Stegostoma tigrinum: one gene and its partners. The protein of the gene in region 2 interacts with the protein of the main gene of each other region in a pairwise test. Links are inferred from orthologs where the notes say so. Each region holds a gene or a part of one and is shown on either strand. Other genes may lie near its edges.

Region 1 (7,630 bases), on a different chromosome or scaffold from region 2:
GTACAGGCATGGATTTTGTCCATGATTACGGACGGAAAACAGATTGTAGGAATAAATGGTTATTTTCAGATTGGTAAACTGTGACTGAGATCAGTGCTGGGCCTCCAATTGTTCACAATCCATATGAAGTACATTATATTTTTGGACAATATTTTCACATGATAATGCAGAACCAGGTGGAAATGAGGGTTGTAATAAGAATGTAAAGAAGCTACAGGGGAATTTAGACAGGTCAGTGAGAGGACAAGACAATACGTGGAAAAATCTGAAATGGTGCACTTTGATAAGAAAAACAGAAATGCAGAAATATTCTTAAGATGTGAGATATTGGGAATTGTTAATATACTCAGTCCGAATTGTGATAAAAGGCGTATGATATATGTTAGCATCATTTGTGGCTTGGATTTTAAAATGGAGGCAAATTTGGTCAGTCCTGTAAAGGTGGTTTTGTTAGAAAGGTTAGAAAGTCATTTGGAACATGAACCAAATGCATCATTTCTAAGTAAGCAAGTGACTTCAGTCAAGTGCCTGGCAGGGCACTTGTGGTGTTACTGTATGGAATGTTTATAATGCAGAGTTCACAAATAGACCAGAGGCCATTCATTTCACTTTTGATTTCTGTTCTGTTCAGAAGGGAGAACAATTTTCTTGCTGCAGGAGAATCAAGTTTTTCAATTCAGTTCAGGGGAGCCAGTCAACCTGAGGAAATGGTTTTTACTTTGTGGATCTTCCAAGCTGGGAGAGCTTGTTTAGAGGCCTTCAAGTTGTTAGAACTGAAACAGTCAGGCCATACGAATTGTGCAAGGTTTATGCCAACAGACTCAGAAAAAAATGGTCGAACATGTCCCAGCAGTCCAAAGAAAAGGATCTGAGAAGTTAGATTCTGTCATTAGATAACATCTGCGTGTTTGTGATCATACTTTCATGACCAACTACCATAGTAACCAACAGCAAAAATCATACACATGATCTATCAAGCCACAGTTCATTCTGATTTCTGGCTTGTCCTACATTACCATCAGCTGGGATCATAACAGAAATCACCAAAAGCTATTGTTCAGGTACAGAGAGTAATTAGAAAAGCAAATGGTATGATACCTTTTACAGCAAAAGAAATTTACTGCAGGAGGAATGATGTTTTGCTGCAACTATATAGGGCCTTAGTGAGAATGTACCTGGAGGATTGTGCACAATTTTGATCTTCTTCACGAAGAAATCTTACTTCCCTCTGAGGGAGTGGAATACTCATGAGACTGATCCCCTGAAGTGACTGAACGGTCTTATAAGAGATTGAGGAATTTGAGCCAAGGATCCCTTTAGTTAAGAAGAATGAGAGGTGATTTCATTAAGGCATACAAAATTGTCACTGAGGGTGATATGCAGGATGGATGGCTCCCATGGCTTGGTGTACAGAACTAAAAGGAGAGGCAAGTTATTTAGTACTGTGATTAGGAGGAATTTCTTAACTCAGAAGCTGATGAATCTTTGGAGTGATCTACCCCAAAGAGCTGTGTGGAGGCTCATTATTGAGTATATGCAAAATGGAGGTCAATAGATTTCTAGATATTAACAATATCAAGGGATATAGGGGAAATGCAGGAAAATAGCATTGAGGTAGATCAGCCATGATGGAGCAGGCTTGAGGGGCCAAATGATCTACTTCTGCTCCTATTTTCTATATTGCTACAACTCCTCCAATGCAGTCCTATGACAGTTATGAAGACGGAGAGGTGGCTGCCCTGTTGTCTTCATGTTGTAAGGCTGTAAGATTCATGAACAGGGTTAACAATGGAACCCAAGCCAATGTAAACATTTAAGAATGGGTTAAGTAGGCATGTCAAGAGGATTAAAGAAATATATGAGCATTAGCCATTTCAAAAGAAATAGGGAGAGAGGTAAAAGACATGGGGGGCTGCATTGCTAATCAGGGATGGTATCACAGCTGCAAAAAGACAGGTAATTGAGGAGGGGTTGTCTACTGAGTCAGTATGGGTGTAAGTCAGAAACTGGAAAAGAGCGGTCATTTTTTGGGAGTTTTCCATAGACCCCCCAATAAAACAGAGGCATGGAGGAACAGATTGGGAGGCAGATTTTGGAAAGGTGCAGAAGTAATGGGGTTGTTGTCATGGATAACTTCAACTTCCCTAATATCGACTGGATCCTCTTAAGTGCAAATAGTTTAGATGGAGCAGATTTTGTCAGGTGTGTCCAGGAAGGATTTCTGACCCTATATGTAGATAGGCCAACTATAGGGGAGGCCATGTTGGATTTGGTGCTTTGTAATGAACCAGGCCAAGTGTCAGATCTCTCTGTGGGAGAGCATTTTGGTGACAGTGATCACAACTCCCTGACTTAACTATAATCATGGAGAGGGATAGGAGCAGACGGTATGTGAAAGTATTTAATTGGTGGAGTGGGAATTACAATGCGCTTAGGCAAGAACTGCGGAGCATAAATTGGGAACAGATATTCTCAGGGAACTGCATGACAGAAGTGGGGAGGTTGTTTAGGGAGCACTTGTTACAAGTTCTGGATAGGTTTGGCCCACTGAGGCAAGGAGGGGATGGTAAGGTGAAGGAACCTTGGATGACAAGACATTTGGAGCATCTAGTCAAGAGGAAGAAGGAAGCTTACTTAAGGTTGAGGAAGCTACGATCGGACAGGGCTCTAGAGGGCTACAAGGTAGCCAGGAAGGAACTGCAGAATGGACTTAGGAGAGCTACAAGGGGGTCTGAAAAAGCCGTGGCAAGTAGGTTTAAGGAAAACCCCAAGACATTCTATACTTAAGTGAAGAACAAGAGGGAGGTAAAAGAGATGGGGGACTGGCATTGTTAATCAGGGATGGTATCACAGCTTCAGAAAGGGAGGTCGTTGAGGAGGGTTTGTCAGACAATTTTTGGCAATGTTTGACATGTTTGTCAGAAGGTCAGAGTGAGGGTAGGGCCGATCAGGGATAGTGGAGGGAACTTGTGTGCAGAGTTGGAGGAGGTAAGGGAGGTCCTTAATGAATACTTTGCTTCAGTATTCACCAGTGAGAGGGACCTTGACATGTGTGAGGACGGCATGAAACAGGTTGATATGCTCAAGCAAGTTGATGTTAAGAAGGAGGATGTGCTAGAAATTTTGAAAAACATGAGGATAGGTAAGTCCCCTGTGCCAGATGGGATATACCCAAGGTTGCTACAGGAAGCGAGGGAAGATATTACTGCACCTTTGCACCTTTGGTGATGATCTTTGCATCCCCATTGTCCACTGGAGTAGTACCAGATGGTTGGAGGGTGGCAAATATTATTCCTTTGTTCAAGAAAGGGAATAGGGATAATCCTAGGAATTGCAATCAGTCTACAGTGTGGGCAAATTATTGGACAGGATTCTGAGAAATAGTATTTATGTTTATTTGGAAAAGCATAGTTTGATTGGAAATAGTAAGCATGGCTTTGTGAGAGGCAGGTCATGCCTCACAAGCCTTGTTGAATTCTTTGAGGATGTGACAAAACACATTGATGAAGATCAAGCAGTGGATGTGGTGTATATGGATTTTAGCAAGGCATTTCATAAGGTTCCCCATGGTAGGCTCATTCAGAAAGTAAGGAGGCATGGGATACAGGGAAATTTGGCTGTCTGGATACAGAGTTGGCTGTCCAATAGAAGATAGAGCACAGTAGTAGATGGAAAGTATTCAGCCTGGAGCTCGGTGACAAGTGATGTTCCACAGGGGCCTGTTCTGGGACCTCTGCTCTTTGTGATCCTTATAAATAACTTGGACAAGGAGGTGGAAGGGTGGGTTAGTAAGTTTGCCGATGACACAAAAGTTGGTGGAGTCGCGGATAGCACGGAGGGCTGTTGTACGTTGCAATGGGATGTTGTCAAGATGTAGAGCTGGGCAAAGAAGTGGCAGACGGAATTCAACTCAGAGAAGTGTGAAGTGATTCATTTTGGAAGGTTGAATTTGAATGCAGAATACAAGGTTTAATGGCAGTGGTGGGCGTGTGGAATGTGCTGCCAGCAGTGGTAGTGAAGTTACATACGTTAGGGATATTCAAACAATATGACATGGATGATAGTAAAATGTAGGGTATGCAGAGTAGTTTGATCTTAGAGTAGGGTAATAGGTCAGCACAACATCATGGACCGAAGGGCCTGTACTGTGCTGTACTATGTTCTATATTGCATCAGGGTTAATCCATTTGGATGGTCAACACCTGAATAACTTGTTACAGTTTCCTTTTATTAACATTCCTCCATTGGCCATCATACAGAAGACATGAAATCACTACTTCCTGGAGGCAAAGAAAATCTGTGGAGCCACAGAACAAAGCATGCTTTTGAAAGTCATCCCCACCCCCCCCCCCCCCCCCCCCACCGTATGTGAAGTGCTGTGAGACATTTCTGAGCAATTGATGAAACATGAGTGAATGCGAATCTCCGGCCCTTGCTCATTTTTTGTCCACAGAAAAGCAGGACCAGTTCTGGATTGAGATAATTGGTGACCCTAGAGACGGGCTTTCCTTGTGATCTAATCGTCGACCTGTGAGCATTGAGCAAGGTTGGGAACGTTTGCTGTCATCTCTTGCTCGTCTGTCGCCTTGTACTTTTCTGGGAGTTTGAACAGAAAGGGCGCAGCTCCCTAACTCTGGAGTGGAGCGGCAGATACGTCGTTGCACAACTTTATATGAACTCACTCCTTAAGGTTCCCAGGCACCTTGAGAAATATTGAGGGGAATGGAGACGGGTGTAATGTTTATGAATCAGTTACATAGCCAGGCAGCCAGCACTCGGGGCTAGTAAACAAGGATGACTCGGAGTTGCTTTAAATAGGCTGTGAGGAGGCAGGACTGAACTCCTCTGCTACTCGGGCTATGGCTAAACTTGGTCAGCTCACGTAAGAGGGGCCTGATCCTCTCTAGGGGCACGTCAGATTCCTTTCAATTGCTCATAGATCAGATTAAACAGATGACAACTGGCGATCGCCTCAGCTCCAGCAAACAAGAAGAAGTATAAAGCCCGGGGCGCACGACAGGGAGAGGGTCAGAGGAGACTTTCTGGAGGGTCTAGGCAGAAGCAGCGATGGCTGAGAGTCAGGTCCCATTTTCCTGCCAGATGCCTGGGAGACACAGGAGTAGCAGGGACCCTTTCCGAGAGCCGGCCTTATCTTCTCGCTTCCTGGACGATGAGTTCGGCATGCCAACTTTTTCCGAGCACTTCACGGCCGACTGGCCGGACTGGGCGAGACCCAGGCTCACCTCCACTTGGCCGGGGCCCCTGAGATCTTCCTTTAACGGGGCGGCTCGGGACTCTGCGGGTATCTACGGTCCGGCGCCTCCTCATTACACGGCTCGTTACACCGGCTACCCCGAGGCCAAGAACCCGCCCAGCATCAACCCGGGGGAACCCTGGAAGGTGTGCGTTAACGTGAAGAGCTTCGCCCCCGAGGAGCTGACCATCAAAACCAAAGATGGGTTCGTGGAGATCTCAGGTAGGCCGGGGTGGCGGGGGGGGGGGGGTGGAATAGCGGGTGCTGAGGGAATTTTGTACCGAAGGTCGCAGAGAGCTGAGTGAAGGTCAGTCAGAGGGACAGTTCTGTCTTGTGTAGGGGCCCTCTCACCCCTCAAACCACTTCACTTAAGGAGGCGAGGGTGCATCAGAGCCTATAGAGTGAGGAGGAAGGGGGTGCGATATAAATAAAAATAAATCAACTATAATTCCATCATTTCTCACCTCTGCAAAAAAAAACTTGTCGAGTCTTGTTATGCAAATCATGGGGGAGAACCGAGAATGTTGGACAAACAAATTTCAGATTCAAATTCCAATCGTAGATTTCTATCAGTTTGTCGAGTGTACGGGGCTCTGAAATAGATCGAAATATATCCGTTGAAATTATTTAATACCTCGCCTCTCCACCAAGACTTACTGAGTCCTGTCATTATAAAACGTGGTGCGGGGAGGAAGCGGGGGGTTGGTATTGTTGGACAAATTCATAGTATCAAAGACTCAAATTCGAATCATAGATTTTTTGATTCCCTGAGTTGATCCAACGTTTGGTGTGTGCGTGTGTGTGAGACCCACTCTCATGTTTTGTGTAACAGGACAGCATGTTTTATTGAAGTTAATTCCATGGTCTCAACATGTACGAAATTGTCCAAAAGGATTTTGTTTTTCTCACTGGGGTATTTTGGGTTTTGAATAAATTTAAACCAGGAGACTAGACCATGTTAAAATAGCCGTTTTTGATGCTGATGCGGACTGTTCTATAGTTGTTTTGCGGAAAACACAGGATTATGGTGATTTCAGGTGAAAATTACTAATGTAATTGCTTTTAAGAGATGTGCGTATTGCTAATAGAAGTCCACACTGAAAAAGTGGCTGATGGTTTCGAAGCTGAATTATTTGGATTGAGGTATGAATCCTGTTCCAGGATTCAGGGACTACAGATAAGCAACAGTTTTAGACCTTAAGAGACATTACAAAGACTATGTAGGAGAGACACAGTTCGCTAATTGACAATACAGTCCACTGCGAATGAACAAGACGCTGGCAAATCTGAAATTCTCGATCTTGAACAAGTTCCTGTCTGAGGCAAATCAAATGTAAGATATTGTGCCGTTTGATTTTTTTTTCCCCTGACCTTTCCCCTTTGCATCGTTCTAGGAAAACACGAAGAAAAACAAGAAGAAGGAGGAATCGTTTCGAAAAACTTCACCAAAAAAATCCAGTAAGTAGTAGAAGGGATAGACTAACAGAAGGGGAAATGTATGCGAATGTTAAAAGAAGCTGTTTAATTAGCTCGGGGAAGTGTTCGTAGCTTTCATATTTTTTGAAGTACGCAACTTTAATGTTCACTCGTGGGTCTTACGGTATAAAACTTGGCGATGCCAAGAAACAGAGCTCATAAACTTGTGGGGGATTCCTTGCTTGCTGGAGGAAAGGCGAACTCCTTATTTGGTGATAGAATCGCTCTGACTTTAACAATAGGTTTTCACGGTGCCCCACAGCGGAACGGAAACCAGACTCTCGAGTTTGTGTCAAAACTGGACGATCATGCAGTTTTTTTGCACTCGCCCCTTCCCCATCTGTTTGACTGCCGTTGTCAAAGTGCTGCTGGGGGACCGAGGGTGCTAGTCAGGGGGCTTAAAGATCGCTGTCTAGTCCCCAGCTCCTCTTCTGGTCGACAATGCTAATGATTCCCGCATCCATCTTGGCACTTAAGGCTGGGCTGAAATTTTATTTGATGGTACGTAATTCAACTATTCACTACTTCAGATGGAAACGTTATCCAGTTTATTGTAAAGATACTGATGCCTTTGGTAAAATGGCAACAGAGCTAATGTGAACACAAAAAAATGCAGTTACTTTACATGGTAAAGCTTTTGAGTCAAAGGTAAAAGTACAGTGCTACTCGACCGTGGGGCGGATCTATACCCTTAGAGAAAGAAAGACAAGTAGTGGTCGTTTAACCTGAGAGTCACTACGACCTAAGCGAGGGGACAAATTGAGAAGGAGAATCTTCACGGTAAGATCAGCTGGTTCAGAAATGATGCTGATTCCGTCACTCTGCATTGCAAAATAGCTGGCCTGACAATCCAGCTGACCAATCGCCAAAGTTTAAGATAATGAGGTAACGAAATAAAAA
Region 2 (7,155 bases):
GGGTCAAATGGGATCAAAGGTTATATAGAGAAAGCAGGAACAGGCTATTGAGTTGGATGATCAGCCATGATTGTGAAGAACGGAGGAGCAGGCTCAAAGGGCTGAATGGCCTCGTCCCTGCTCCTATCTTCTGTGTTTCTATAAACCTAACCAGGGATCAGGCTATTTTCAACCCAGTAATGTGCAATGAGGCAGGCTGTATAAATAATCTCAGAGTAAAGGATCCCCAGGATCAATGTCCATAACATGGTAGAATTCAGCACTCGGAATGAGAGACAAAAATTGGGTCAGAAACAACACTGTCATACTTAATTATGAGTAATTTCAAATAAATGGGCACTGTGTTGTCTAGAGTGGGCTGGGAAAGGAGATTAGCTACAAAGACGGTTGAGAAACAATGGCAGACATTTAGCAAAATAATTCACAACTCACCAGCAGAGGTACATCCCAGTGAGGAAGGGGATAAATCGACCATGGTATTAAGGACAGTATCAAATCCAAATTGAAAAAAACACAATGTTTTTGTGGTAAGCCAGAGTATTGGTAAAGAGAAGAAAAAGCAATATTGAGAGCAAACTATAAAGTAATATCAAGGAAACAGTAGACAAACTGAGAAAATATTCCACATTAGTCTTCAAGATAGAAAGCACTAACAGCATTCCAAAAATACTAAATGATCAATGGACAATATCAGGGGTGCAGGGGAAATAAATCACTAGAGAAAAAGTACTAGGTAAAGCAATGAGTCTAAAGGCAGTTAAATCCCCTGGACTTGATGGGATGCATTCTAGGTTAAAGGTAGTAGTCTTCCAAGAATTCCAATAGGTTATACAAGTCCGAGAGGAATGGAAAACTATCAATGTAATAGCCTTGTACAAAAAGGGAGACAGCAAAACAAAAAAGACAACTACAGGCCAATTAGCTTAACATCCAGGAGAAATTACTGCAGATGCTGGAATCTATGCTGAAAACAAAAAATGCTGCAGATCATAGCGGGTCAGGCAGCATCCAGGCAGAGAGAAAATTAATGTTGAGTCTAGATGATTCTCCATCAGAGCTCAACACCTATCATTGGGAAGATGTGAGCGTCTATTAAAAAAATGTAATAACAGAACATTTGGTAATAAATATGTTCAAGCACAGTCTGCAAGGCTTCACAAAGGGGATATCACATCTGACACATTTATTCAACTTCTTTAAACAGGATACATAAGAGGAGAACACGTAAATATAATATATTTGTATTTTCAAATGTGTCTGATAAGGTAACACATGCATGGCTACTTATTAAGACAAGAGCCTGTGGTGTTGGGGTAGTACATTAGCACAGATACAGGATCGATCAAGTAATAGAAGGCAGGAAGTTGGGATATGGGGGGATGCAGTTTAAGGATAGCAACTTGTAACCACTGAAGCACATGGATCTGAGATAGGGCCACAATTATTTACAATATACATTAATGACTTTGATGGGGGAAGTGAATGTACTGGAGCCAAGTTTACGATCAACACAAAAAAGGAAAGACAAAATGTTGCAGAGATAAGGACAGGTTAAATAATTAGTCAAAAAAATTGGCAGATGGAATATCATATGGGGAAATGTTATGCACTTCAACTGGAAGAATAGAAAAGCTGAACATTATTCAGCATACTGTCTATAAGCATTTATTTTTGAAGTTCTCTAACCTAAAGGGTGCTGATGCTCCTTGTGCGTAAATCACAAAATGCTAACACATAAGCTCGACAGGTAATATGGATTCTTGGCCTCTAATTCAAGGGGAATAGAATATTAAAAATACTCTATTGTTTACTTTAACCATGAAAGGCATTAGTCAGACCACAACTGTTTTGGTCCTGTGACCCAAGGGTAGACATATAGGCAGCTCTGGGTATGGAGGGTTTTTTTCTTAAAATTTATTTGTGGGACATGGGCAACATCCTTAGCTGTCCTTGAACTGAGTGACTGGCTAGGCCGTTTCAGAAGGCATATGAGATTCAACCACACTGCTGTGGGTCTGGAGTCACATGAAGATGGCAGATTTCCTTCCCCAAAGTATATTATTGAGCCAGATGGGTTTACGATTTCATGGCCATCATTAGACTGTAGATTCTAAATTCCAGATATTTTATTGAATTCAAATTTCACCATCTGCTGTGACGGGATTTGAACCAGGAAATTAACTAATTTTCTGGATTAGTTATCTACTGATAATACCATTAGGCCAAAGAGGAAAAGGTTGAATAGGTTAGACCTGGACTCATTGGAATTTAAAGGAAGAACAGGATACTATTTGAGAACATGAGATTTTGAGGGATCCTTACAGCATAGAAAGGGAGCGTTTTTCCTTTAATGTGAGGGTGTTATCTCAGAATAAAAGGCCATCCACTTAAATTAGAAATGAGGACTTTCTTCTTCTGGGAAGTAGTGTATCTGTGGAACTGTACTGTAGACAGCTGTTGAAGTTGGGTCATTATTTTCAAGGCTGAAATTTACAGATTTGCAATCAGTAAAGGAATCGAGGGTATTGGGGAAAAGGCTAAAAAAGGGAGTTGAGGATAAGCTATAAACTCGTGAAATAATAGCACAGATTTGATAAGATGAATTGCTTAACTCTGAACCTTTATGTTAAGGAAAAACTCAGTTCACTGAGAGGATTCTAAATCTTTGTGGGGTTCTCTAACCCAGAGGATTGTGGAGGCTTGATTGTTGACTATATTTAAGCCTGGGGTAGACTCATGTTTGGACAGTGAATGAACAGAGGAATATGAGGAGCGGGATCAGCGCGAATGGTAATAAATATCAGTGATCCCTGACGGCTGCGTCTATCTCTCTACGATTCGGCGCTACACAAACGTACCTTACTGGCGTGCAGGCCACTGGAGCCTCGGCGGCTGAGTGCTGCCGGAGCCGATGGCCAAGCACTCCCCGGGCCCTCACCCAGCTCCCTCCCATCCCCCGCTCTCACCATCCTGGGCCCGGTTCGTTCTGGAGCCTGCCTGTCCGCTTCCCTGCAGCCCGCCGACGCCTGCGGCCTTGCCCCCGCTCGATCCTCGGTGTCGGCCCGAACCCAGATCCCGCGGCCGGGGACCTGACGTCAGCGCGCACTGCCTCGGGTGCGAGCACGGCCCTAACCACCCGCGGGAGCGCGCGCTACCTGAACGGGGTGGGGGGGGACGCGCCTTTCTTTCTTTCGCCCCCTCACTTGGCGGGGCCCAGCCGCCCGGTTCCTTGCTTACCTCAGGTGGCAGCGCTGGAGGTACCAGCCGGCCAGACGGGCGGGTGACCTGACGTGAAGGCACGCGGCTCGGCTTCCCCCACCGAGGCCCGGGCTCCTTTTTGCTTTTCCTCCTCCTTCGGAGTCTCACTAAGCCGCCATCTTACAGCCAGCCCGCCTCCGCCAATCAGAGCCGCCGCTAGGCACCCGCCAATCAGCACCAACCTCCAGCCTCCACCAACCAGCGCTGTTTTCCCGCCTCCACCAATCAGAGCCGCAGACCAACAGTAATCTCGCGAGATTCTAGTGCGAACCCAGTGTCCCTTAAAGGGGTCGTGCTGCATCTTGTCGTCGTGGGAACAGCTGGAGGGTTGAGCCTCTCACACCTGCCTTATTCAAATCATTGTCAGTCTGCATCTAATTCCACCTTGTTTCCCTTCCCTTCCCTTTCATGTCAGTCATTTGTTTAACTCTTAAACAAAAGGAAAGAGCTGCGGATGTTGTAAATCAGGAAACAGAACAGAAATTGCTGGAAGAGCTCAGCAGGCATGGCAGCAAATGAACGTTTCTGGTCCAGTGACCCTTCCTCAGAACTGGTGTTATGGGGAGAAGGTAGCAAAATGGCATTATTTGAATTGATCAATTGAAGACCGGTAATAAACATCACTGGGTGAATGGCCTTCATATGTGCCATGACATATCTGTGACTCATTGACAGATTAAATAATGGCCAGGCCATTCAGATAGCTCCCATGATGTTCAGAAATTTCAGAACATACTGATGCATTGTTTCTGAGGAAGGGTCATTGGACCCAAAACTTTAACATGTGTCTGACTCTTACTTGCCCTCTGAAATGGTCAAGCAAACCCCTCCCCCTGCTCAGTCCATGGGAAAAAGCTACCATCCAAGTTCGGTTGGTATTAGGGAATGTTGGCCTTTATTTCAAAAGGAATTGAGAATAAAATTAGGGAGTCTTGCTAAAAGTGTACAAGGCACTAGTCAGACCACGGCTAAATACTGTGAAGTTTTGAGCCCTTATCTAAGGAAATACATAACAGCATCAGAGACAGTCCAGAGTAGTGTGATAGCAAGTATGGGTGAATTGCCTTATAAGGAGAAGTTGAGTATATTGGGCCTGTACTCACTGGAATATAGAAAAATGAAAGCTGACTTTATTGAGGCATACAAGATTCTTAGGGGACTCCTTCCAGCACAGAAGTGTTGAAAGGTTGTTTTCTCCTCTCTGGGAGAGACTTAGGAAGACATCATCGTTTTAAAAGATGAGACGGCATAGTTAAGAGAGAGAGATAAGGAATTTCTTTTCTCAGGGCAGTGAATCTGTGGAATTCTATACCACAGAGTTGTCGAGGTTGGGTTATTAAGACTCTTAATACCTTACTGATTAAAAACCTCAGACTTTGAGGGCTATGGGGCAAAGGCAGGAAGGTGGAGTTGGGAACAATCATATCAGCCATGATCTCATTCAATGGCAGAGCAGATTGAATGGCAAGAATATCCTACTTCCATTCCTACATCTTATGGGCTCACAAATGGCAACAAATGCTGGCTTCTCATGCACTGCCTTCATCTCATGAAACAATAAGGTAAAATTTTACAATCCTACAAAAATTCACAGATAGAAACAAAATGTAATTGATAAAATGAGTGGACCTAGCAGCATATGCGCAAAAAGAAACAAAAGTAGTGTTTTGAGTCCAGAATGAAACTTTTCTCAGAACCAAAAGGGTCTGAAAAAGTTGAGATTTATGCTGTAGAAATGGCATGAGTAAGGAACTAGTGGGGAAAATCCACCAGTATGTTCTGAAATTTCTGAACAGTATAGGAGCTATTCGAATGTCCTGGCCGCTATTTATCTCTCACCGAGTCACAGATGTATGTTATGGCACACATGAAGGCCACTCAGCCAATGATATTTGTACTGGTCTTCAAGTGATCAATTCAATTAATGCCATTTTGCTACCATCTTCTCATAACCCTGCATATTCTTCCTTTTCAGATAATGATCTAATTCCCTTGAGAATACCTCGACTCAACCAGACTCTGCACTGCAGACCGTAACCTTTTGTTGGGTGAAAAGTTTTTTGTCATAGTGATGTTGCTTTTCTTACCAGTTACATTAAACCTGTGCCTTCTTATTTTCATTCCTTTCACAAGTGGATACAATTTCTGTCTATCCACTCTGTCTCAAATGTCATGATCCTGTTGGCAAGATGTGCCACAAATCAAGCCCCAACATCCCAATGGTCATTTCAAATGTAAAGACGACCAACTGAATCACTAATTACTTTAGTTGACCTTACCACTACCTAAGGTTTAAAAAACTCACACCAGGTTTCAGCAATAAACAAGAAACAAAAATGATCAATTATGAGAACATAAGAATGAGGAGCAGGAGTAGGCAATTCAGTCTTTCAAGACTGCTCTGCCATTTGATATGAAAAAAAAACTGGGATTTTACATTAGATAGTGGCTACACAGTTGCCAAGAGGTTGGCTTTTAATTCCAAATTTTTGTAGAATTCCAATTTCAGCATCTGCTACGATGGGAATTTACCCAAACCTCAGGACATTAGTCTGACGTTCAGGATCACTAGTCCACCACATCATCAAATCCCCAGAAGAAAGTGGCAAATTGAATTATTAATTAATAATGTGCAGACCTGAACTATATCCCCTTTAAATCCAAACACACATTACTTTGTCATTCATATAAACAATTGGAATAAGTATATTGAAGCCTGGTTATTAGTTTGCGGATGACACCAGCAGACAGTGAAGAAGGTTATCAAAGAATACAACGGGATCTTGATATACTGGGCCAGTTGGCCGATAGACCTAGGGGTGCAGGTTCATAGTTCCTTGAAAGTGGCATCATGGGTAGACAGGGTGGTGAAGAAGGCATTTGGCATAGTTACCTTCACTGGTCAGAGCACTGGAATGTCATTTTTGACGTTACACAGGACGTTGGTAATGTGAATTTTTGGAGTACTGTTTGGTCATCCTGCTATAGGAAAGACGTTACTAAATTGACAAGATTTACAAGAATATTGCCAGGATTGCAGGGTTTGAGTCACAAGGAGACGCTAGGTAAGCTGGGATCTGTTTCCCCTGGAGCATCAGAGGCTGTGGGGTAAAGTTAAAGAGATTTATAAAATCATGAAGGGCATAGATAAGGTGAATAGCAAACGTCTTTTCCCTAGGATAGGGGAGTTCAAAACTAGAGTGCATAGGTTTCAGGTGAGGGGGGAAGGATTTAAAAGGGACCAGAGGAGCACCCTTTTCAAGTACAGGGTAGTTCGTGTATGGTATGAACTGACAAAGGAAGTGGTAAAAGGGACCAGAGGAGCACCCTTTTCACGTACAGGGTAGTTCGTGTATGGTATGAACTGACAAAGGAAGGATTTAAAAGGGACCAGAGGAGCACCCTTTTCACGTACAGGGTAGTTCGTGTATGGTATGAACTGACAAAGGAAGTGGTAAAAGGGACCAGAGGAGCACCCTTTTCACGTACAGGGTAGTTCGTGTATGGTATGAACTGACAAAGGAAGTGGTAAAAGGGACCAGAGGAGCACCCTTTTCACATACAGGGTAGTTCGTGTATGGTATGAACTGACAAAGGAAGGGGTAAAAGGGACCAGAGGAGCACCCTTTTCACGTACAGGGTAGTTCGTGTATGGTATGAACTGACAAAGGAAGGGGTAAAAGGGACCAGAGGAGCACCCTTTTCACGTACAGGGTAGTTCGTGTATGGTATGAACTGACAAAGGAAGGGGTAAAAGGGACCAGAGGAGCACCCTTTTCACGTACAGGGTAGTTCGTGTATGGTATGAACTGACAAAGGAAGGGGTAAAAGGGACCAGAGGAGCACCCTTTTCACGTACAGGGTAGAAGCAGGTACAGGTACAACATTAAAGGGATT
Region 3 (7,668 bases), on a different chromosome or scaffold from region 2:
ATTTTGAACACCTTATCAAATCTCTTCATCAACACCATCTTCTCAAATGTAGGAACAAAAAATGAAAAAAATACTATTGCCACAGAACTCCAACTAAAATTCTCCATACCAGTCAGCTCTTGCTGCAAAAAATCCAAAATTGGAATATCAATTTCTTTCAATTTAATTTTAAACTGCTCTGTCCAGTAATTCAACACTGAAATAAATGAGCCAGTGATATTGCTGTTGTGGTATGAAATCTATGACAGCAACGGAATTAGTCAGTTAACAATGAGCCATATCTGTCATCTGTAATGCACCACGCTGTGTATGAGTTTCAGCAAGTATGCACGATTCAAATCTACCTCCCACGTATTAAAACTGCAGAAATAAATCAATTTTCACCAAGTTAATCAGTGGGGATATTTAAACAATCTCTTCCCTCCATCACAACCCCAACCCTCCCTTTTTGACTTACAAGTTATCTGTAAATTCATTAAATAGAATTAAATAATTTCCTTCTGCAAAATGACCCAACTGTTCCTGCTCCCTTGGTTTTACTAAGCACTCGGTACAATATAAACTTCTGTAATACTGGAATTGTACGCTGCACAACATGTTCTTTCGTCGTCCTGCCCTTTCCCCTGCGAACAGGAGAGGCTGGGATGGGGTCAACCACCTTCTACAGGTTAACCCGGCCTCCGTTTTTTGTGAATTCTTCCCCAAAACAGTTACACTAGAGCGCTTGCGTCTGAATTGCAGCCCTTCAGTTCGACTGGTGGGTTAGAAGGAGAAGCGGCTCATTCCAGGCAGCTGATTTACAAATAGAAACAACTATTTAACGTCGGCGAAACTTCAATTATTCGCGGCGTAAAGCTACAGAAAGCATTCGCACAATGTGCCACCTCGCCAATCACGCAGCCCTCTCTTTTGATCTGCCAGCCACACTTAAACTGCAGGCCTGCAACTGATTGAAATCTCCATCAGAAAGTGTGCGTTCCTGTTTGGATTACTGAGAGGGCAAAAAAATTAAAAAGCTTTTGTTATATTTCTCCACAGTTCAAAACAATTGACTGTTTACACTAAGAGACAAGTAGGGGTAAAATAAAACGCTAAATTGCCAACGATCGGAATCAGTAAACAAATGTAAAACGAATTAACGGGTAAATTACAGTCTATAAATCACACACACCAGCTACAACCAAGGCAGATCTTTACAAAATGGCTTATCAGGCTACTCTGTGTCAAACTCAGTCACAAAGGCCTGCAAGACTGCCTCAGTTGTATTTTATTTTTGTCCTTCTTTTCCAATTAATGCTGCCGGCATAACAATGCGACCTCGGTGAAATTGCTTCAGGTACTAATCGATTAGGAAACTGATTGTAGAAGTTTCAGGCTAGAATTTTTAATTTGAGTGTTTTACGGCTAGTGGATTATATTTGTTTTTTTTAATATATACCTCCCCTCTCTGACAGAACCACAAACTGTCAAACTTTTCTGGGCAATTTCTACACACCCCAGCCCCACCCCACACCCCGCCCCCCCACCCCCGTGAGAAAACAGTTCTTGCAAAAATACACAGCTGACCAGACTTGCGCACCTTTCCACCTATCGCTAAAAGTCCGGATGCAACAAAGCGAATTACTCTTACCCAGATAGTCACACGGGTCACTCGAAGTGAAATATACAAAAGAAAACGCACCACACAGGCAGGCTGCTAATAAACGAGGCTGCTCTAGTGATTACAGAATATTGTGCACGAGCGACAGGCGCAAAGAAAGGCACACTTTAAAATAGATACGGGACATTACAAAGAAAAATCCGGATAAATTGCTCAAAAATTGCTCATGTCATCTGATTTACTATAGAATGAAACTGACCTAAATTAATCTCACAACAGGAACCCACGGTCTGTTTGTGAAATAGCTCTATATGGTCTGCTGATGGAGATTAAAGGGAGGTTCATTCACATTCTCGGGTTTGGAGAAATAAGGACTGAAGTATTAACACATAGGCCGAATCTTAAGACATTCTCAATCGTTATCAACCCAGAATTTTGCTATTTTCCACAAAAAGGTCAGTTTAAAAGTGATAGGAAGGCGAATTCCTGCAATATTTACACGCCAATATTTGCAAATCACAGGGGAAAAGGTACTCAAAATGCACCTAAAATTGTGGGTCGCGGTTAAGAGAATTAGCCTGGTTCAGAAGAATATGCAGTATTTCACACTATAGCAGATAGAATAAAGGCAGGGGTTTAACAACAAATTAGAAACCCCAGGTCAAAAAAAACACACGCATTCACACGACCATCACCGCCACTTTCTCTTCCTCTTTCACGAGGTTTAAGGAACCAGACAGCGGGAAAAAAATCCTTTCTCAACACCCAAAATTCAAAACCTCGTAAATATAACGCTTGTGCTTGCTTTAAACGTTTCAGATGTTAGCCTGCGTATTGAACTGAGCTTACAATTCCACTTTCTATCGCACTTTTGTTATTCTTTCAAAAAATGTCTGCTCAGAAAGTATTGAAAGAGAGAAAGAGAATTCCCGATTCACACAACACGTACCATTGTGGTGTGGGGAAATTTGCCAGAAATCACTGTATCACTTCCACTGCAAGCCGCAGATCCAGGAAACTCCCTAGTCCGAGAGGCAAGTCCATGTCTAATAAAGTGCGCCGGTCCCAAACCATCGAGTGAGCGATTGAGAAAGAGAAAGAAAGATTATTTCAGTCAAAAGTTGCCTTCGAATAGTCCGACACATAAAGGTTTTCCTTTTCTCTATGCATTTCACTGTATTTTCCTTTCTGTTTAGACTTTACCGGGATCGGTTTTCCCAGGTTAAAGTTATACCTTTTCCTTCGCGGCTTCGGTGAAACTTTATTTTTTTCTTTATAGAAAAAGTTATTCTAACCTCTGCAGCATTGTGATTGCGCGGCCTTCCCGCCTCAGAGAATTGTCAGGAAGAGCAGTCTGAGTGCTGAGAACAGAAATCTCTCCAAATACTGCAGAGGAGAGAGTGAGAGGCTTTTGAGAGAGAGCCGATAAGTCCCACTTCCATCACTAACTAACTAACTAACCGCTCAGATCTCGGAGTTGAGCCGTGATTTGTTTAATAACTTTTTGTATGTGTGTGTGTGTGTGTGTTTTGTTTTGCATCTGGCCTGTAAGCGCTGGGAGAGCAGCTGCTGTGTCTGTGTGTGTCCCTGTGTGTGTGTTTTTGAGCAGAATTACAGAGTGAAGAGCCATGAACTGGGGCTTGTTTTAAAGAGGCATCGGCGCAGAGGGAAAGTTACTGACAATAAGTGCGAGTACATTCAGTCTCATACGATCTCCGAGTAGAACCAGCGACGGGACATCGTGATGACGGGCGGGGGGGGGGGGTGTTAATTTAAACAGGAAAAAAAACTAAAACAGGAGAATTTTCGCAAACAGTGCGTAAAAGTAATTGAAGTGTGTAGATATTTTTAATTTGCAAAAAGCGCCGACACATTTGCTAAATGACGAGCTGTTTCTTTTTCAAGTAGAGGGAGAGAAAACGGTCGGCGCGAAGTGTTGCAGGAGACAATGGAAGGGCAACTTGTTAGCAGCGAACGTTACGGAACAACTTGAGCCTCATAGATACCAGACTATCCAACTCAAATATGTTATTTCCAGCAGTAGGAATCGATTTCCAAAACTTAAAACGTTTCTCTAAAAGTACACCCCCGCCGCTATGACCACCACCCAATTACAAAGTTAGTAGTGTCAGTCCTCTAGAAGGGAGGAGAGGTGTAAATTAGTTCCAATTTTTCCTCGTAGAATGATTGAGTGAAACCAGTTTGTCTACGTGTGTGTGTGCGCGCGCATAAAACCAATAGCGGACTTCAAAATAAATCGATTTAAAGTAAGAGCCCTGAACTTTCCGGGTTGACTTCAGTTTAACACTACAGCCTCAGCAATTGTTGGATATTATGCTTGCAGTTCATCCCAAACCTCCTTCACTACCCTCTCCTGGCTTTCAAAACAAATTGTCGAGTGATGTTTCTGTTGTGGGTAGCATTTGAACTTCCACAAGTAACCTGGAACTTCGAAATGTCTGGCTTTTAACTAATTGCAAATGTTAGAAAAAAAAGAACGCCCCTGCTAAAACAAATCTGTTTTTAGCGCTTGTTAAAACTCAAGAGTTTACTGTTACTGTAAACAGCTGTGTTTTTTTTAGTGATACACATTCGGAATTAGGCTGGCTGCAAATTGTCTCCCAATAGAATTTATTCAAGGAGTATCACCGAAATGGGCCCGGTGCGATTTCTGCAATGGGATTTAATTCCTCAAAGTTGCAGCCTTCCACAACTTCTGTGTCCCGGTGCATTACAATAGGTATCCACTAATTTCTCCTTCAGCCCAACCCGATTGCGTCCAAATATACAGCGAGGTCTGCAGACAGGGCAAATGAGGACTGTGTAGGAAGAGGGAAACTGCAACATCTGGGAATATATCTGACAAGCATGTGTGAAAATGACGATTCTATCGGCGCTGCAGCGTTCCCCGAATACGCCCGAGCGCCGCTGGTACAAAGGCAAATAAATCGGTTCGAAGTAAAAGGGGCGAAGACACAGAAACACCAAGAGTGTTCCATAAATGGGATTCACTGGCCAGTATTTCACCTCAGATAAAACAACAGCAATAACGCAGTCAAATCACATTAGTAATTACGTCCTGCTAATTAATAGAGGTGAAGAAAGAGGCGACTGCCGTTTCTTTCAAGATAAAATAACAACGGCGTTTTAACAGATAAGAAAACATTTTGTTTTTTTTTGAAAAATGAAACGCCCACGAAGAATCACGAGCTGGTATTTTTGCTTTTTTTTTACTACGCGCTGGTAGAAATATTGTCTGAGATCTCTGCACTTTTGGGGTTTACCTCAGGAATCACTGTATTGTCGGTTAGGTTGTATTGGGGGGTAGGTTTTGAAAGCGTGACCATCTCCATATAATTCTCTCGAGTGAAACAGACTACCCCCTACACTCTGCCATCCCCCACCCCCATTCCATGCACCTTAGTGAGAGGGAGAAAGAGAAAAAAAATCTAGTTTTCAAATGGCTTCCCTTATTGACTGAATGTAACTTTTGCCTCGAACTCTCGCTAGGCATTTTTCATAAAGTAGAAGAGAATAAATTCAATTACATTTGATGGGTACCTATATCCTGTAATCACGACAAATTAAAAATCGCAGCAAGGTGTATAAACAGGGAGAGACAAAGTTTTCAGTGAGACTGCAAGACAGAACAGCCGGTGCGATACTGACCCACTGCAAAACGGCTCCTATACAAGGGGAAATTACTACCTTTGACTGAACGAAGTGGAAATTCACGACACTAGATCCCGGATCGATAATTTAAGGAATAACGTGCAGGGGTTGTGATAAGGAGTCAACAGCTTCCGCACAAGTTTCAAACCCTTTAACCCTTTCAGCTCCACACAAGTTTTCAATCGCTGCAGGCAATCAATTGCAGATAAAGAAATGGTCATGGATTCATTTTGTAGACTTCGCAACTGGCTTCCAATCTCGCCATCAAATAATCTTGTGCCGGCGTGGATTTTTATTTAAATTTTTGCTTCAAGTCATATTTTTTCCCCCGAGTTCTGTTTCCTCTGCTTGTAAGGAACTGTCGGAAAGAATCTTTTTGGAAAGCGCCTGGCAGGGTTTTGGGCGAAGGCGTTTGGAGATGGACGGGAAAGTGGTAGTGGTGAAAAAATTGTGGTGAGATGGTGTTGGTGAGAAAGCCAAGATAGACTATCCAAACTTCCATTGTTTCAGTTATGCACGGCGCTCAAAACTGATTTGAGACAATGTTACAAAACGCTCTGGACAGGCTGACATACAGGTACATCTTTCGTTTGGGTGAATGTCCAATTTCGAACTCCGCATCTTTCAATAATAAAACATGTTATAATTGAAACGCTTCCCGAAGTATTTAGTTCAGGTACTTTCACAGCTGATTCTCTCTCTACATCAAATCTACCCAGCTGATAGCTCGTTAAATTGCCTAGACACGTCTTCAATTTAATTAAATGCAGCATTTGCAATTTTCGTTTTGCTTATTAGTAATAATTTATTCATATGAACTTTACTACGCAACAGAATTAGAGCTCGAACAATGTAGGGATCCGAAACAGATTCCAAATTTAGGTTAAAGCATTTTAAAAATGTATTGAAATGCTAATTTTGTTAAGCGTTTGTATTTCACTTTACCCGCCGTTATACTAATTCCATACTCAAACAAATTCCATACTCAAAGGAACAGAAATACACAAACAGAAAAACAAAGACACAAAAACACACGAACAGAAACACAAAAAATGTGTGCACGCACAGAGATACACACATACTCAGACACAGATAGGCACACATACACACACACACAACACAGATACTCACAGAGATGCAAAGACACAAACACACAGATACTCACACGGAAACATACATACACAGACATGCACACACGCCATACAGACGCGCAGATACACACATATAGATGAACATACACACCCACAGGTATACACACACATTGTGTATATTCAAGAAGGCTGCAATGAAATGAGCCAAAGACTATCCGAACTATTCTGCTATCACGAGATTTCTAAAACTCTAAATTGCTTCTTTATTCCAATTTGTATGATAATTAAACTGCTTTTAACTTGTTGAACTCCTCACTATTTGTACAACTTATTGATTACTATCAAATCAATCTAAATCTCAGTGTTCCTGTGCAAACTCTAACACGGAATTCGAAAAAGAAACATTTCAAATTGTGGTGCCAAGTACATTTTACATTGATTTCTAAATTCCACTTTTTAAATTGGAAACTGAATTGTCGGAAGAAATTGATTTTGGGCTGTTTTTATTTTCTAAAAGCTGTGTCCGTGATATCAGTAGCTAATATTAATTTTACGCATTAATAAAGAAAATCTGCATTCTACGTGGGTTTAGAATTAAAATGCCGATCTGTTTGATACTCCTTAACTCAATGTACTGGAGTTTGGTTACAAACTGTTTGATGCTGTATTTAAATGCGTTAAAAGACCTTTTTAATTCATGAATTATGCGATTTTGTTCTTACAAAATGTTCTGCAAATGTGTTTTCATGAATATTTGAGATCATGTTTAACCTCGTTTTTATTCACTACATAATTATTATTTAACTTTTTTAAAAAACTCACTGCTTCGAGGCTTTGTTTTGAATGTAGTACACGGGGTTCACTTGTAATAATAACCTTTCTGCATTAACGCTTTAGTTTGATTAGAAAATATTTTAACCCTGTAATCCTGTGGTTTCTAGGTGCTTGCAGATTTTTTCATCTCAGTCGATCTAACAATAAAGTATTTGCATCAACGTAATTTGAAATAAGTCTGTTTTGTTTCACTATTTTCAACAGTATAAAATCGAATATGACCACAATTTGGAGCATATTCTTAGTTTTCTCAAGTAAGCACACACTCGCTTTCCAAAAATTGTTAAAAATGAATGTTAACGACGATTAATACAGGACCTCCAGAAGTGTGAGGAACCGAGTAAAGCTCTTTTCCACGATTGCTTCATTTCTCCAGCCACTACCGTTGTCCAGCCAACAACAAGCACCACATCTCACCCCACTACCCATATCTAAAGTTATCATTTGCTCTCTGCTCAAATTCGAAGCAAA

What was found. The genes of interacting proteins can lie anywhere in the genome.
Region 1: the proteins of transcriptional regulator QRICH1-like (region 2) and hspb8 interact in binary tests that used the Homo sapiens proteins (3 or more experiments, as listed by UniProt). The two-hybrid records come from large-scale screens. The link is inferred for Stegostoma tigrinum from reciprocal best matches to the Homo sapiens genes QRICH1 and HSPB8.
Region 3: the proteins of transcriptional regulator QRICH1-like (region 2) and nfixb interact in binary tests that used the Homo sapiens proteins (3 or more experiments, as listed by UniProt). The two-hybrid records come from large-scale screens. The link is inferred for Stegostoma tigrinum from reciprocal best matches to the Homo sapiens genes QRICH1 and NFIX.

Annotation. Positions count from the first base shown.
Region 1 is NC_081379.1:36,596,592-36,604,221, forward strand, and holds the start of hspb8 (heat shock protein beta-8), read left to right. Parts: upstream 1-4,602; 5' UTR 4,603-5,067; coding exon 5,068-5,476; intron 5,477-6,648; coding exon 6,649-6,712; intron 6,713-7,630. UniProt on the Homo sapiens protein: Involved in the chaperone-assisted selective autophagy (CASA), a crucial process for protein quality control, particularly in mechanical strained cells and tissues such as muscle. Displays temperature-dependent chaperone activity.
Region 2 is NC_081364.1:993,611-1,000,765, forward strand, and holds the start of transcriptional regulator QRICH1-like, read right to left. Parts: upstream 3,090-7,155; 5' UTR 2,970-3,089; coding exon 2,967-2,969; intron 1-2,966. UniProt on the Homo sapiens protein: Transcriptional regulator that acts as a mediator of the integrated stress response (ISR) through transcriptional control of protein homeostasis under conditions of ER stress.
Region 3 is NC_081388.1:16,189,677-16,197,344, forward strand, and holds the start of nfixb (nuclear factor I/Xb), read right to left. Parts: upstream 3,029-7,668; 5' UTR 2,907-3,028; coding exon 2,896-2,906; intron 2,647-2,895; coding exon 2,550-2,646; intron 1-2,549.